4 linked regions of the Saccharomyces cerevisiae S288C genome follow. The main gene of each other region encodes a partner of the protein of the gene in region 3 in a complex. Each region holds a gene or a part of one and is shown on either strand. Other genes may lie near its edges. The genes, in order: GPI2, ERI1, GPI1 and GPI19.

Region 1 (3,167 bases), on a different chromosome or scaffold from region 3:
AGGTTTCTCATCCGGGTGATATTATCACATAACCAAGTGCCAAAAAGAAGAAAACAGGAAGCTGCTGCTACCAAGAAACAAGTGACTTTAAATTAGGAGCGGTAGACGCTGAAACGCCTGTTTAACACGGCCGCAAATTGTACCCTATTGGCCAGGTAGTATTGTCTTGTGTTCAGTTTAAGGGGGCGTTTCTCTAATATTGGGACCCGGTTAAGGTGCAAGGGCCCATCAATGCATTCAAAAATCTCCTGAATGTTCAATTTTAAAGTTGTCGTATGATATGTGAATAATCTGTAGTGAAGCAAACTTAATCGACCGAACTGCCCTTTGGTAATTGCCCGACGCCTTTGCTTGTCAGGTTTCATGATAATTATTATTACAGTGACTCTATATATAATGAAATACCGTGGGGTCGAGGAAGAGGACAGGCAATAAGCCCCTGCGGGCAGAAGTCGTACCCCTCCCTTGCTTATCCGAAGGAAATCATGTTCTTGATTGCGCTAATCCAATATTGGTGTTCTTGCATCCCATGTACTTAGTAGATCGTTATCCCGTTTATGATAATTGATTTTCCAGTAGATGAACCACTTAGGTAAAACAGTAATATAAAATACTGAAGCAAAGAAAATCAACAGCATATAAATCCAACCTAGAGCAACATTCAAAAATGAGTATACAATAATATTTGAAATTATTGGTACTACCTTATTCGTCACCGATAAATAAGTGGGTAGAATGATATTCAACTGAATACAAATTAAAAGAAAACAGAATACGTCGATTGTGGTCGAAAGCCTCGATGATAGGACAGCAACAAGGGCGACAAGTATATTGGTGGAAAGGTTAGAGGGTTTATCTTTGGACTTTGTTGACGAAATAACGAAAATGTACCATAGGGTCAGCCAAAAAGACAATGTCCATATGGAATCAGATGCAGTTGTTTTAGAAAGAGATTTGAGGACTGGAGAGAGAGTCAACATTGCAAATGTGATAATCAGCGAAGACTTTACGTCCATGAATGAGGACAATAGAGGGTCGACTTTCGTCCTTGATATAATCAATGTTATAAATGAAAGGAAAATAGTTGGCGGAATAGGATCGAAGCCATAATAGTAAATATATGTAAAAGTGATGTAAATGAAAGAAGTGTTCAATATGGTTTGGTAGAAACTTATAAAATCCAACCTAATTTGAGCGCGAGCAGCTTCTGATAATTTTCTATCAGACTTCTGGTTACTCTCAGCCTTTTGTCTTGCTCTCAACTCAATAAAACTTGGATCTGTATAATTATCTGGGTACTCCTGTTTCAACCATAGTAGGCGCTTCCAGGGAGATCTTGTCATTGTACCTATTGAAAATAACCAAATATAAACTATGAAGTCTCTTTAAGGTCATACGAAAATTGAGAGGATAATGGACCTGCAACAGAAAGTTTGGATGCCTCTGATTATATTCACCACCGTCTAACAACAATACTTAAAGTGTGATTGTACCTTTAAATTGGTTTAAAGCGAAGAGGTAATGGAAAGTTGAAATTTTCATTTTTAGTTCATAAATTTAGTAGCCGCGAAGTGGTCTCAAGTTCGGATATCAAGATAATCAATAGCCACGGACACCTACTACCTGGCCTTCGCTGACATGTAATTGACATTGTTTTTGAAAAACCTAACCAAAAATTTACAATTCACTATCTTCATGAAAGATCTCCAGAAAAAAAGCTCAGTACGAAGGCAAATCACGAATGAAGACGATGAACGGTATGGGGAGGACAGCATCCATGACCTTCCCAGGACAATACCAAATGTAAATCCCTATATTAGAAATTCAGGATTTAGGCCATCTTATTCTTCCCAAATTCCTTCGACAAGGAGTCTATTCAATAACTATTATAACCGTTCAAGTGCTAACACAGTTGGTAATGACACAATAGATACCGATAGTGTTAGCTATAACGGAGTTGCCAAATTCCGGAGAAATAGCGTAGATATACCGCTACAGACACATAACAGACTGGAAGTACGGCCTATAATCGACAGACAAGACTATTTGTGGAGAGAAATAGATGCCCTAGATGACGTTAAAAGACAGGCGCAGGCAACAGAATTGTATGATCAGTTTCCTCCAGGGTTCGAGAACAAACTGATGCAATTAAGGCAAGCACATAGTAAACTACTTCAAGTCTTGAGGGACCGCAATGCTAAAATAGAAGAGGAACAACGTCGTGAAGTGGCGGTCGCAACCGCTGCTGCCATGATGACTAGAACGCCATCACCAACAGGAAAATCCGTCGGAGATGAAGCTACAAGCAACAACATGCATAGTAGCAGCGCAATTAGAAATCCAAATGGACCAACCGTTGATCCTGAAGAAGGAAAGTACATTCAAGAGCTGGTGAACACTATAAGGGAATTACAATAGTAGGGCCAAAACACAACTGATAGTAACAATCACCAAGAGATTCTACATTAAAAGTGTAAGAATTCCCACATAGGAGTGCTCTAATTATGTCATATATGCTTAATTTTCAAAATAAAATAGCCATAAACTGTGTTGTGACGCAACTGCAACTCCCAGATGAAATACGGTCCGGTAAAGATAGGAATATTCTACTCTACAAGCATGAATATTTTTTAACGCGGCGCAGTACTATACAGCATAACAGGTCTTCCACGCATGAGAAACTGTCCATGGCTAAATTAGTTCCTCACACAGAATTAGAAATGTGCTGTGACAATGGCACATACGTAGATAAAAGATAAATATAATTCAGAATGGCTGTGGCGACAACTATTATCATAGAGGTGTCCCATCGAGCGAGCCTCATTGGCCGGGTAATCGACATCAATATTGAACCAATCACGACGCTTTTTCTCTTCACCGCTCATTCGGACCTTCACCACAGGTTTGGGTAATTAAAATAGCAAGGGATTATAATTGCAGTTAGCAGTTTATGTTGACAAGTTTATACTGTGCTAGGAAGGGTTATATTTTATTAAAAGACTGACGAGAATTCAGTACCTCCTAAGTGCGCAAGAGATAAAATGAGCATGAGTATGGGTGTCCGTGGCCTAGCGTTAAGGTCCGTTTCTAAAACATTATTTAGCCAAGGTGTTCGTTGTCCTTCGATGGTGATTGGAGCCCGTTATATGTCTTCCACTCCAGAAAAA
Region 2 (3,363 bases), on a different chromosome or scaffold from region 3:
AGGTTTTTCAAAAATGGCCTAGAATATTACAGAAACCGATGTGCTCTCACTGAAGATGTACCTTCCGGAAAATATACACCAAGGAATAATTTCAACTGGTGGAAAGACATCAAAATGTTGGATTTCTTAGCTGATTTTGGTAGGCACATTCGGGTACAATCTATGTTGGCGAGGGATTCAATTTCTTCGAGGCTTCAAACCAAAAATGGTCTGGGATTTAACGAATTTACTTACCAAGTTTTACAAGCGTACGATTTTTACCATTTGTATAAGGAAGAGAATGTGACTATACAAGTAGGTGGTAACGACCAATGGGGAAATATAACAGCCGGTATCGATCTCATCAATAGGATACAGCCTATAAAGAATAAGGGTTTGCCATTTGGTATCACTGTGCCCTTGTTGACGACGGCTACAGGAGAGAAATTTGGGAAAAGTGCAGGCAATGCTGTTTTTATTGACCCCTCAATCAATACGGCGTATGATGTTTACCAGTTCTTTTATAATACTTTGGATGCTGATGTACCCAAGTTCTTGAAGATCTTTACGTTTTTAAACTCAAGTGAAATCAAAAAAATTGTGGAAACGCATATCAAATCACCCAGTCTACGTTATGGCCAAACTTTATTGGCTAAAGAAGTCACAGATATGTTATATGGAGTTGGCTCCGGATCGGATTCAGAAGCGCTTTCTAATATTATTTTTGGACGTTATGACGGAACTTTATCTGCTGCGAAGTTAGTTGATCTATGTAAAAAAGCCAGAATTTTGCAGTATGCTGATAGAGAGATTGACTTAATAAAGTTAATTTGTAAACTAGTAAATTGTTCAGTATCAGAAGCCAGAAGAAAACTTTCCCAGGGAAGCGTGTATCTGCATCATTCAAAATCTAAAGTAAACGAAAATATTTCTAACTTGGCTCCTTTCCTGATAGATGATCGAGTACTGATCTTGAGGATAGGAAAGCAGAAGTGTTTTATAATAGAAATGCGTTAAAAAAAAGGGAGGTATATAAAGTACATGTATAAAATAGGCATGCGTGAGGTGATATTATATCATTTTATGCACTGACTTGTAAATAAGATTATAAACGATTATTCATCTTTACTACTTGCGAACATTTCACTGTCACACCAGGCTATGAGGGCCCACAGCCAGAGAGTCGCAGGGCATAGCAGTAATACACACCAGTAGTGCAGGAAAGAGTCATTGTTGCGTAACCAGTAAAATGTAGCAAGACTAATTAGGAGTACCGAGTAAGTAAACCCTAAAACCAAAAAGCCTTGGTCACGTGGTCTCATGCGCTTATAAATTCTCAATCATGTAATTGAAACAGTCCTGTTGCCTAGTTTCAACTGTTCTATGCTTCTTGATGTTTTCGAAACTTTGCGTAGTGTAATCTTCCTTGTATTGTAGCGAAGAAAAAAGGATGCGTTGGGAACAGATATAGAAGACGTAAAACAACCTGAAGAAGGTAACAGGTGGAGTAGCAATGGGAGAGGTATACGAAAAAAATAACATAGATTTTGATTCAATAGCCAAAATGTTGTTAATTAAGTATAAGGATTTCATACTGTCTAAATTCAAGAAAGCTGCACCTGTAGAGAATATAAGGTTTCAGAATTTAGTCCATACAAATCAATTCGCACAAGGAGTCCTAGGTCAGAGTCAACATCTCTGTACAGTCTATGACAATCCTTCATGGCATTCTATAGTCCTGGAGACATTGGATCTGGATCTAATATATAAAAATGTTGATAAGGAATTTGCCAAAGATGGGCATGCAGAGGGGGAAAATATATACACGGATTATCTAGTAAAGGAGCTGCTTCGCTACTTCAAACAAGATTTTTTCAAATGGTGCAATAAACCAGATTGTAATCATTGTGGCCAGAACACTTCAGAAAATATGACACCTCTGGGCAGTCAAGGGCCCAATGGAGAGGAATCTAAATTCAATTGCGGAACTGTTGAGATCTATAAATGCAACCGATGCGGAAATATCACTAGATTTCCTCGTTATAACGATCCAATTAAGTTGCTGGAAACTAGAAAGGGAAGATGCGGTGAATGGTGCAATTTATTTACTTTGATTTTGAAGTCGTTTGGGTTAGATGTTCGCTACGTCTGGAATAGAGAAGATCATGTTTGGTGTGAATATTTTTCAAATTTTTTGAATAGGTGGGTTCATGTCGACTCCTGTGAGCAATCATTCGACCAACCATATATCTATTCAATTAACTGGAACAAGAAAATGAGTTACTGTATTGCGTTCGGTAAAGATGGCGTTGTTGACGTTAGTAAACGCTATATCCTCCAAAACGAGCTGCCCAGAGATCAAATCAAGGAAGAAGATTTAAAATTCCTTTGTCAATTTATAACGAAGAGGTTGAGGTATTCGTTAAATGATGACGAGATATACCAACTTGCATGTCGCGATGAGCAGGAACAGATAGAGCTGATTAGAGGAAAGACACAAGAAACGAAATCCGAAAGCGTCAGTGCCGCTTCGAAATCATCTAATCGTGGTAGAGAAAGTGGATCGGCGGATTGGAAAGCACAGCGTGGGGAGGATGGTAAATAGAGAAATAAAAGAACAGATTATTATGTGTAAGGAATTTTATCTAAGAACATATTTATAAAACTAACTCATCAAAGCTGCCCAAGAACTCGGCAGCTTGCTTTGTTAACCAGGAATTACTTTCATTGTCGAGATAAGCCAAATGTCCACCCAAGTCAGTCTCGCATAACAACACACAAGGATTTTCTCTAGCTTGTTTGTACGGAATTACGTTTTCACCTGTAACTGGATCATCCGTTGCGTTGATTATTAAAGTTGGGATTTTGATATTAGGCAATCTATTTATCGAACTGGCCTTTCTATAATATGTTAACCCGTCCGGCAGGCCCATCGATGGGGCAGTGAAAAGATTATCGAATTCTAATATGTCTGTAAATTTTTCAGCCTTTTCCAAATTTTCTCTGGTATACGTATAAAAGACTGGTTTCTCAACTGTCGGTTTGTGCGAAACCTCAAAATTCTCTGGTACCTGCAACTCATTCATATTAACCTTGACAGTCCTTGTTAGAAATTGTGTTAAAGTTCTAGAAAAAATATGGTTGGACCACCAATCATGAGCCAACTTGTCCCAAGTGTGTACGAAATCCCATGGGTTTGAGAGAGCGACTGCAGCATTTAATGGACAGTTATCTCCTTCTTCACCTAAGTAGTTCGTTAGCATGGCTGCTCCAAATGATGTTCCGACTGCATATATTTTTCTTTGCGGAAATAGAGCTTTTTGGTGGTTCAAAAATTCTCTCACATCACCTGTGTGTAATGCGGTAAAGATTCTACGGGTGGTG
Region 3 (5,237 bases):
TGAACAACAAGTTGCTGAAGAAGCTACCACCGAAGAAGCTGGTGAAGAAGAAGCCAAGGAAGAGGTTACCGAAGAGCAAGCTGAAGCTACTGAATGGGCTGAAGAAAATGCTGACAACGTCGAGTGGTAAGTAAGGTGATATTTACAAATAGTATATTAATAATTATAGTATAATGTTTTATTAGAATAACAGATTTCTTTATCAATTTAGCGGCTAAATAAAAATCAAGAAAAAAGAAATACATTCATTGTGTCATCTTGTCACACATTTAGCCATGTACTTTATTTGCTGAGAAGTTTAATCAATTGAGAGTAGTTAGCTATTGTAGTAAAAATGTGCAAATGAAGTCTTATCAACACGTAGCGTATATAGTGATCTAAAACAGTTAGAAATATAATAAGCGAACTTCTAAACCATTTTAGAGCACATAGCCATGGAGAATAGGTACTTGTTTTGACCCGCTCGACGAAGTGGTACGTAGTGATTGCGTGGATTAGTTTATCATAAGACTTTCAATGAACGTACCAAAGGCGAGACTCCTAAAAGTAGCAGAGTTATCTGCGAAGATATTTGATCAAAATTTCAACCCATCAGGTATAAGAACCGGTTCTAAGATTCTAAATGAGCGATTAAAGGGCCCTTCTGTGGCAAGCTACTACGGCAATCCGGATATCCTGAAGTTCAGACATTTGAAAACATTATATCCTGATATTGAATTTGTAGACCTTGAGGAGCAATATCGATTATCTATGGTAGAAGCAAAGAAACGTCGTGGTAAAGGTGCTCCTAAGAAGATGAAGAAGGATGCAGCTGCAACTGCAAAGGGGAAGGGGAAGAAAAAAAAATGATTGGAGCACCCTTACTAAAAAAAATATTCATTATGTAGAAACTCATTTCATGTACATACAAAATCAAAAATAAAACAACAAATAGCTGAAGCAAGAAAACGCTACTTTACTTATAAAAGAAAACGTTATGCCTGAATAGTCAGCCTTTTGTATAAATCCTTTACACTCAATGGCTTACTAGGCAGTGAAGAATAAAGAACATAGTACAGCTTATTTCTATTGACCATTATAGACTCCCCTCGGACAATCTTTCGTACAGTAGCAAACGAGAAATAATTTGTCCTCATTTGCGACAACAATAGATTGTATGGTCTGAACATACTCTTGAATTTAATAGGATTGTTTTGAAGTTCTAAGGTTGTATGCTTGTTAGAAACCGTGGTTTTGAGCTCAATTGAAATGCCACCGGGTAGACGTTTAGGATCTTTTAACCTAAGTAATAATGCGAACAATGGAAAATGGTTAATGAGTGCAATGACAGCTTCCGAGAATATTTCGATAGTTATTGTTAGCATTCTCAAAACTGTGTATGACATATAGAATGCCATCACTGTGGGAGTCAAGAACACTAGAATAATAAATAATAATGTTCCCAATAGCAATTGATCTAGTTGAAAATAGTTATGGTCAATCCTATTTCGTAAAACGTTCCTCTTTTTACCGCAGAACAGGTTAAAAAGACTAGCCATAATATTCAACTGACAATGGTACAGTTTACTGCTGATACGATAAAAAACATATATTGGAAAACTTAAAATTGCAAAAAAATCAATCGCTAGGGAAACAGCAAAAGAAAAGCCAACGAGAAACATCATATATATCGTTAACGTGAGCAAAGATGATAGGGTTTTCGGATCAATGAGTCTTTTTATGAATGTGGTATAAGAAAATTCTATCACCCAAAGAAATAATTCGCTCAAAAAGTTCGCAAGTTCTGCATTTAATTTGATGCCAAGGGGGTTATTTGCTAACGTTTCAGTTATTGTTTTTAATGAATCATATAAAAAAAACTTCAATACTCTATGGGATGCCGACACCAAGAAATCTCGATTCTCAATAAGTATGGCCCCCAATATTAAACCAAATGAAATGTCATTAATAATAAGCCAAATTGTATTATACAATAAAATATAATCGGGATAGAATTTAGAAGGCATATATGAATGTGAGAATTGACTATTAGAATTATCTTTTTCCACCATAGAGCCAACATTCTGTATGTTATCCTTCTTATTAATACGCTCATACTGTACTGGGAAATAGCAAATTTGTTGACAACGAAGATCGATTTGCTGGACAAATGCCGAGTAATTTACCAACTGAAAGTGCGAATAATTTAATAACGAGGATACGAGACTAGCAATAGAGCAGATCACAAAAGTCAAATAAAAACCAATTTTTGCGACCATTTTATAAATACAAGTAGATGAACACCAAGCTGCGACACTATTAAGCATAGTACCCCTCAAATTTTCCTGTGATGTTTGAATAAACGGGTAAAGCTCATTTAATGCTTTACAATATGCGGGGAATAGATTAATGATGTTCAAAGTTTCACTCAATTTCTTATTATCTCTCTTGTATCTTGGATGTTGCTCTAATTTAGAATAGTTCAGAGTTTCACCCACACTACTATGAAGACCAACTTCTTTTTCTGGTATGATGAGCGAGATGGGATCAGAAGAATAGAATTGCATAAATTTCAGCTTGGGTATTCTAAAATGGACATTACAGGGATCAGCAACTTTGTAGTTCCAACCCTCCGCTCCATTGTTCTTAGTAGCTACCACTGAATAAGGGGGCCGTATGCTTACTTCTTCTAAATACTGAGGTTCGCAAACACCTAAGACAACAAAATGCGTCTTCTCAAATGAAATTGCCAAAGCTACCTGAGGTCCTTGAGCTGCGGAATTCTCGAACAAGGATTCGTATGGCCAGAAAATGTAATTTGGCATGTCATTTAACTGTATAAAACCGCCCCTGAATTCGAAGGTTCCTGTTCACAGAGGAATTTTCATTCTTTTTGGTATTATGTTCTGGTAGGTTTTTTTCATATTCTACATTTCGGCATTCTCACTGAAAATAAATATAGATGAGATAGAAGATCATGAATCAATGGTTGGTGACAAGCTAACATAAGGAAAATCAAAATACACGGCATTACTAAATAGAATATATTGTTAGTACTATGCAGGGGAGAAAAAGGACGCTTACGGAACCATTTGAGCCAAATACCAATCCATTTGGGGACAATGCAGCAGTAATGACGGAAAATGTTGAGGATAACAGCGAAACAGATGGTAACCGTCTAGAATCAAAACCACAAGCTTTGGTCCCACCAGCTTTAAATATCGTGCCACCAGAGAGCAGCATCCACAGTACTGAAGAAAAAAAAGGTGACGAGTACAATGGAAATGATAAAGATAGCTCCTTAATCTCCAACATATTTCGTACTCGTGTCGGAAGGAGTAGTCATGAAAACTTGAGCAGGCCTAAACTCTCACTTAAAACAGCATCATTTGGTGCCGCTGAATCTTCCCGGCGTAATGTTTCACCCTCTACAAAATCTGCCAAGTCTAGTTCGCAGTATATTGATTTAAATGATGAAAGGCTACGCAGGCGTAGCTTCAGTAGTTATAGCCGATCATCTAGTAGGCGTGTTTCTAATTCACCAAGCTCAACGGATAGGCCTCCACGGTCGGCAAAGGTTTTATCGCTAATTGCCGCTGATGATATGGATGATTTTGAAGATTTGCAAAAGGGATTTAAAAGTGCAATAGACGAAGAGGGCCTGACATGGCTACCCCAATTAAAATCAGAAAAAAGCCGTCCTGTATCAGACGTTGGAGAAGATAGAGGAGAAGGAGAACAAGAATCTATACCTGACGTTCATACACCCAATGTAGGAGCAAGCGCTACTCCAGGATCAATTCATCTAACACCCGAACCCGCGCAGAATGGTTCGGTATCTGAGGGTCTAGAAGGCTCTATTAATAATTCAAGAAAGAAACCCAGTCCAAAGTTTTTTCATCATTTATCACCGCAAAAAGAAGATAAAGACCAAACAGAAGTTATTGAGTATGCTGAAGACATTCTAGATTTTGAAACCCTTCAAAGAAAACTGGAATCAAGGCCCTTTGTGCTTTATGGACATTCTCTTGGGGTTTTCTCGCCTACGAATCCGCTAAGAATAAAAATTGCTCGTTTTTTGTTGCATAGGCGGTATTCGTTACTTTACAACACTTTGTTAACATTTTATGCCATTCTCCTGGCGATAAGGACATATAACCCTCACAATGTGGTTTTTTTATACCGTTTCTCTAACTGGACCGACTATTTCATTTTTATTTTATCAGCTTGCTTTACAGGCAATGATATTGCTAAAATAATTGCGTTTGGATTTTGGGACGATTCTGAAATGTTTAAAGCCTATGGACGTGAGTATAAATCAATCTTACAGAGATCTGGAATTATGAAACTATACATATATCTGAGAGAAAAGTATGGTAGAAAGCTAATAGATTTCATTATTCCATTTAGGATCATATCGCCGGGAGAAGAGACAAAATATCAACGAAGTTCGTTGAGTACTTCCCTGACGAAACCTTATGGGGCAAAGGAAAATCAGAGGCCTTTTGGCACCCCAAGAGCCTTTGCGAGATCATCGTGGAATAGAATAGATCTGGTATCTTCTGTCAGTTTTTGGCTAGGTATGTTTTTATCCATAAAAAGTTATGATACAAAAACAGGCATAAGAATATTCAAGCCCCTTGCTATATTAAGGATTCTTCGACTTGTAAACGTGGATACTGGTATGCCCTCAATTCTAAGGGGATTGAAATATGGTATCCCACAGTTGGTAAATGTTAGTTCAATGCTAGTTTACTTTTGGATTTTCTTTGGGATTTTGGGAGTACAGATTTTTCAGGGCTCTTTTCGAAGACAATGTGTATGGTTTAACCCTGAAGATCCTACCGATACTTACCAGTACGATATGCAATTCTGTGGTGGTTACCTAGATCCAGTAACAAAACGAAAACAAAATTATATCTATGAAGACGGATCAGAAGGTTCTGTTTCAAAAGGCTTTCTTTGCCCACAATATTCGAAATGTGTTTCCAATGCCAACCCCTACAACGGCAGAATTAGTTTTGATAATATTGTTAATTCCATGGAGCTCGTTTTTGTCATTATGAGTGCGAATACTTTTACTGACTTAATGTACTATACGATGGATTCGGATGAAATGGCTGCCTGTTTGTTTTTTATTGTTTGCATCTTTGTTTTAACTATCTGGCTGCTAAATCTACTCATTGCAGTGTTGGTATCATCTTTTGAAATAGCCAATGAGGAGTACAAAAAGAAAAAGTTCATATATGGTTCTAGAA
Region 4 (3,988 bases), on a different chromosome or scaffold from region 3:
CAAATAACCCCAGCAGTTTTTTTGTCGAAAAAGTTTCTATTCCTAGACTAGTGGCAAGAAATAAGGTAAAAAATGAGGATGTCGATGAAAGAATTGTTGACGAAGCCACTGTGGTATACGACAAAGCAGCGTTAGCCGCCAAATTTGCCACGAACCACAAGACGCAAAATAGCAGACTCAACCTCATTGTATCCTTCACTTTCGTGTCCGCTATCGAAGACAAATTTGAAGAAGTAGAAGGAGTTGAAGATAGTAAAGGTAGGAACTCTGAAAAAGATTCTTGTGTGTGAATAGGTAATGTTCGTTCTGTCCGTTCCTGCAAGCTCTTCCTTCTTGATTGGATTATCCTCCATAGATCTGGCGTCAAATAAAGAGCAAACGATGATATGTTTAGATAAGTAAGGAAGAAAGGTTTATTGTACGCGTTTGTCTCGAGCAATTCATTAGTCAAACACGAAGCGCCAACCCAAAACACCACCACTACGGCCAGAAGCAGGACCCCTATCATATGATCTACGTCTATACCAACACGATTCATTCTCCTGCTTACTTTTTATTTTTTGCCTCTACCATCACTCTTATACATATCTAATTCTTCCTTGATCTCCTGCATTATTATATATATTCTTTTGAATATTCATTTCAACTTTCATCTATATGCCGCAGTTACCGAAAAATGTGTATGGGGGGGCCTACAGAATACGAGAATAGCCACAAAACGGTAAGCATTACAGCCTCACCATATAATAGTACTGTTAAGTGCATACATTCCAGTAGCCCCATATTATGACTTTATGCAGGACCGATGAAGATGTAGAAGATGGATCACCATGTGAAGGCCTTTCCACGTGACTTGAATTGTGTTGCACGTGACTAAACATTGTCAATTAACAGCAATAATAGAGTAACTATTAGAGCACAATTGCCAATCACGTTGGCGTAGTGTTCCCGTAGCCAGTTTGTATCTTATCTTGCGTATGCATTTACTGGGGCGATGTGATTGTGATGTTATGTCTCTGGACAGGTGCTGAGAAAAGCTATGTGCTGGTATGGTCGTTATCATATAGGTAGAGAAGTTGGCAGGCATCCATCAGAGACAGATCGTAAATACCACTTGTTTCTTTAAAGGCCCATTTCTTAACGAATACGTCCGGGTCGTCCTCTATTACAAGTTGACCACCGGCATCCGTTACTGTAGATAGAGAATCTAGCGGCGGTGTTAATGTATCTTCATTGTACATCAGAAGGCCGATGTATGTGCATAGCATGCCCATCAGCATTATGCTCTCCAAGGTAATAATCCATCTTCTTTGTGGGAAGATGTCCAATAGCGTGTTGATAAACTGCTTTGGTGCAGCCTCACCCAGCGATGATGGTAAGATGGACCATATTATGGTGAGCACCAAAGTGCTTGTTATTATCATATATTGTGAAAACCAGTAGTACTCTTTTGTATACATATTGTTTATTTATATCTTTTAGTATTAGACAGGAACAAACAGCTCAGATTCTTTTTTTGGCAAATCTGCTCTCCTCTTGTGATTGTTTCAACTTTCTTTCAGCACATAAATTTTAAAAGTTTACTGGGCCCAAGCAGGAACTTTATTAAGACAATAGGGAATAGTGAAAAAGCCGGCAAAGTGAAAATACAAAAAGCGAGCAATAAAACTCGTACTCTCAAAAAACCCAGAGGAAAGGAAATGAGAAATTGAATAATATTAATATTTACTTATTTAGATTCTCGTAAGATATAAGTGAAACTATAACGACAACTTTATCGGCGAAAAAAAGAAGGAAGAGGAACAACCAAAGAAAGTTTTCAATGAGCTTATTAACTGCAACATTAATATCTAGTTTTTCAGCGATTGGCTAATTTACGTTCTTGCCTGCCTTTTTTCATCACTTGTTTCAAAGCGGTACTGTCCAGTGGGTCCAACAACTCAAAAGAACAGAGTAGGCCTTCACTAACGGTCATGACAGCACCCCAGTTATCGAATTCACCACAATAGTTGGGAGCCGAAAACACTGTAACTAAGCTTCTGTCATTAAAGAATTCATAACCATCTTCCACCACCATATGTGCTCTACACACTAAATCGAATCCGAATTTGTTTAAAAATTTATTAATAGCCACTTTATTGTAACAAAAACTAACTCCACGCTCATTATCCTCCCATTCATTCGATGAATCTGTAGGATCCGACCATAAAAGGTCATTAATTAAGCCGAAGTCGGGTACATCGGTGGGCCTACTAACGTGCCTAATTTCGTCCATGGAATTTAGAACAGGTGATAGTCCACCATGAACACAAAATATTTTTCCTGTGACGATGGCTGCTAACGGTAGCGTGTTGAACGTGTCAACAAAGGTTTTCCAAATCTTGATATTACAACGTCGTTTACATTCATCATAAAACCCGTAGACTCTTGTAACATTGGCACATTCATGATTGCCTCTTAAGAGGAAGAAATTTTCAGGATATTTAATCTTATAGCATAGTAATAGTAAAATGGTCTCCAGGGACTGCTTACCGCGATCTACGTAATCGCCTAAAAATAAGTAATTTGCCATGGGGGGGAAACCGCATTTGGTAAAAAGTCTCAAAAGATCTGCATATTGGCCGTGAACATCACCCACTATTTTTACCGAGGGAGATAATTCTAAGAGAGCAGGTTGGGCAAGGAATAATTCACGAGCCTTATGGCAAATTTGAATAATCTCGGAATTCTTTAAGCAAACATTCTTGGTCCTCTTTGCGGCATAGCCGGCATCTAGTAATCTCTGGATAATTTCATCTATGTCCACTGGACGAACTGGTTTTTTCCTTTTCATTTCGACCATAGTATTAGTCCTAGATCCATTATCACCGTCTGCACAACTCCCGTGTACGAAATCACCTGTGGGAGATGGTGGGGAAACATATATTCTTTGACTGGAACTGGAAGACGATGAAGACCGTTGTCCTTTGCCCCGCGGACTAAGTGAAGATGATGAATCTCTGTGAGCTAGTGTTGGATATGCACTTAAATATTCTCTTTTTGACGCTGACGACGCTGACGGCGAAGGCTTGTCTATGTTTAGATTAGGGATAGGTGAGGTGCCTCTACCGTTGACGTTGTCTCCGCTATCGTCGTTGTCCCTCGAGCTCATTTTTCTTAACGCAGGTGAATGCAGTGGTGTGCTATAAGCTGTATTCCCAGTGGAGCCAAATGACGACTTCCTGGATGATGCATGCGAGTTTGATCTGTTTGAGAAATAGTCGCTGCCATTCCCTCCTGCTTCTGCATTTAAAGGATAACTTGCTGGCAGAGTATTGTCTGATCTTCTGCGTAATTTCGATGAAGTCGAGGAAAATCCTGTTACACCTTTTTCCGGTTGTAATGAATTATGACGTCTTAAAGGAGTACGCTTGGAGCCTCTATCTGCGGAAGAACTAGTGTTGATGCGAGTAACTTTGGCCATTGAGGGGCTCTCGCCGCCATCATCCCCCCTATCGTCGTCATCATCAGTCAACGCATTTTCGTAAGAGTTGAAAGAGCTAGTGGAATGCATGCTTGTACTATTTTTCAAGATGGGTGATTTGGGCTCCATCTGGATCATTGACGGGGGCAATTCTGAATTGTTATTATTCCCCATGCTCGACCTTCTCGAAGAGGAAGAGAGTCTTCTTGACGAACTGGGATGTGAGGTTAGGTAGTGGTTATTAGGAGGAGTGATTGGGGCGTTGTTTGATCGCCTATGGTTGCGATTGCCGTTTCCCAGAGTGGACGATCTGCGGGAGAGGGGTTGCGTTTGAGCTTGAACATTAGATGCCAACGACGCCTCTGAGCGTTTCGACCGCAGCGACCTCAGCGACCTTGACGATTTCAGCGAATGTGTAGTATCCGATTTTGTCAGTGGTGGGAGATCTAGTGTCTTTTTCCTGTCACCGTCGTGGTCATCCTTCTTGCTATTGTGCTTGGTATGTTGTTTCGAACCGGAATTACC

What was found.
Region 1: GPI1 (region 3) and GPI2 share a complex: the UniProt entries of both Saccharomyces cerevisiae proteins name them as parts of the phosphatidylinositol N-acetylglucosaminyltransferase (GPI-GlcNAc transferase) complex.
Region 2: GPI1 (region 3) and ERI1 share a complex: the UniProt entries of both Saccharomyces cerevisiae proteins name them as parts of the phosphatidylinositol N-acetylglucosaminyltransferase (GPI-GlcNAc transferase) complex.
Region 4: GPI1 (region 3) and GPI19 share a complex: the UniProt entries of both Saccharomyces cerevisiae proteins name them as parts of the phosphatidylinositol N-acetylglucosaminyltransferase (GPI-GlcNAc transferase) complex.

What each region holds. Positions count from the first base shown.
Region 1 is NC_001148.4:408,619-411,785, reverse strand, and holds GPI2 (phosphatidylinositol N-acetylglucosaminyltransferase), read right to left. Parts: upstream 1,344-3,167; coding exon 501-1,343; downstream 1-500. Other genes in the region: YPL077C (uncharacterized protein), read left to right, coding at 1,696-2,418; ATP4 (F1F0 ATP synthase subunit 4), read left to right, coding at 3,042-3,167. UniProt on the Saccharomyces cerevisiae protein: Part of the complex catalyzing the transfer of N-acetylglucosamine from UDP-N-acetylglucosamine to phosphatidylinositol, the first step of GPI biosynthesis.
Region 2 is NC_001148.4:365,435-368,797, forward strand, and holds ERI1 (Eri1p), read right to left. Parts: upstream 1,302-3,363; coding exon 1,095-1,301; downstream 1-1,094. Other genes in the region: tyrosine--tRNA ligase MSY1, read left to right, coding at 1-996; PNG1 (peptide-N4-(N-acetyl-beta-glucosaminyl)asparagine amidase), read left to right, coding at 1,493-2,584; EEB1 (medium-chain fatty acid ethyl ester synthase/esterase), read right to left, coding at 2,637-3,363. UniProt on the Saccharomyces cerevisiae protein: Probable component of the GPI-GlcNAc transferase (GPI-GnT) complex in the endoplasmic reticulum, a complex that catalyzes transfer of GlcNAc from UDP-GlcNAc to an acceptor phosphatidylinositol, the first step in the production of GPI-anchors for cell surface proteins.
Region 3 is NC_001139.9:921,659-926,895, forward strand, and holds GPI1 (phosphatidylinositol N-acetylglucosaminyltransferase), read right to left. Parts: upstream 2,805-5,237; coding exon 975-2,804; downstream 1-974. Other genes in the region: 40S ribosomal protein uS2 RPS0A, read left to right, coding at 1-130; mitochondrial 37S ribosomal protein mS33 RSM27, read left to right, coding at 517-849; calcium channel protein CCH1, read left to right, coding at 3,038-5,237. UniProt on the Saccharomyces cerevisiae protein: Part of the complex catalyzing the transfer of N-acetylglucosamine from UDP-N-acetylglucosamine to phosphatidylinositol, the first step of GPI biosynthesis.
Region 4 is NC_001136.10:1,334,824-1,338,811, reverse strand, and holds GPI19 (phosphatidylinositol N-acetylglucosaminyltransferase GPI19), read right to left. Parts: upstream 1,461-3,988; coding exon 1,038-1,460; downstream 1-1,037. Other genes in the region: THI74 (Thi74p), read right to left, coding at 1-538; PPZ2 (salt homeostasis regulator), read right to left, coding at 1,859-3,988. UniProt on the Saccharomyces cerevisiae protein: Part of the complex catalyzing the transfer of N-acetylglucosamine from UDP-N-acetylglucosamine to phosphatidylinositol, the first step of GPI biosynthesis. Involved in cell wall biosynthesis.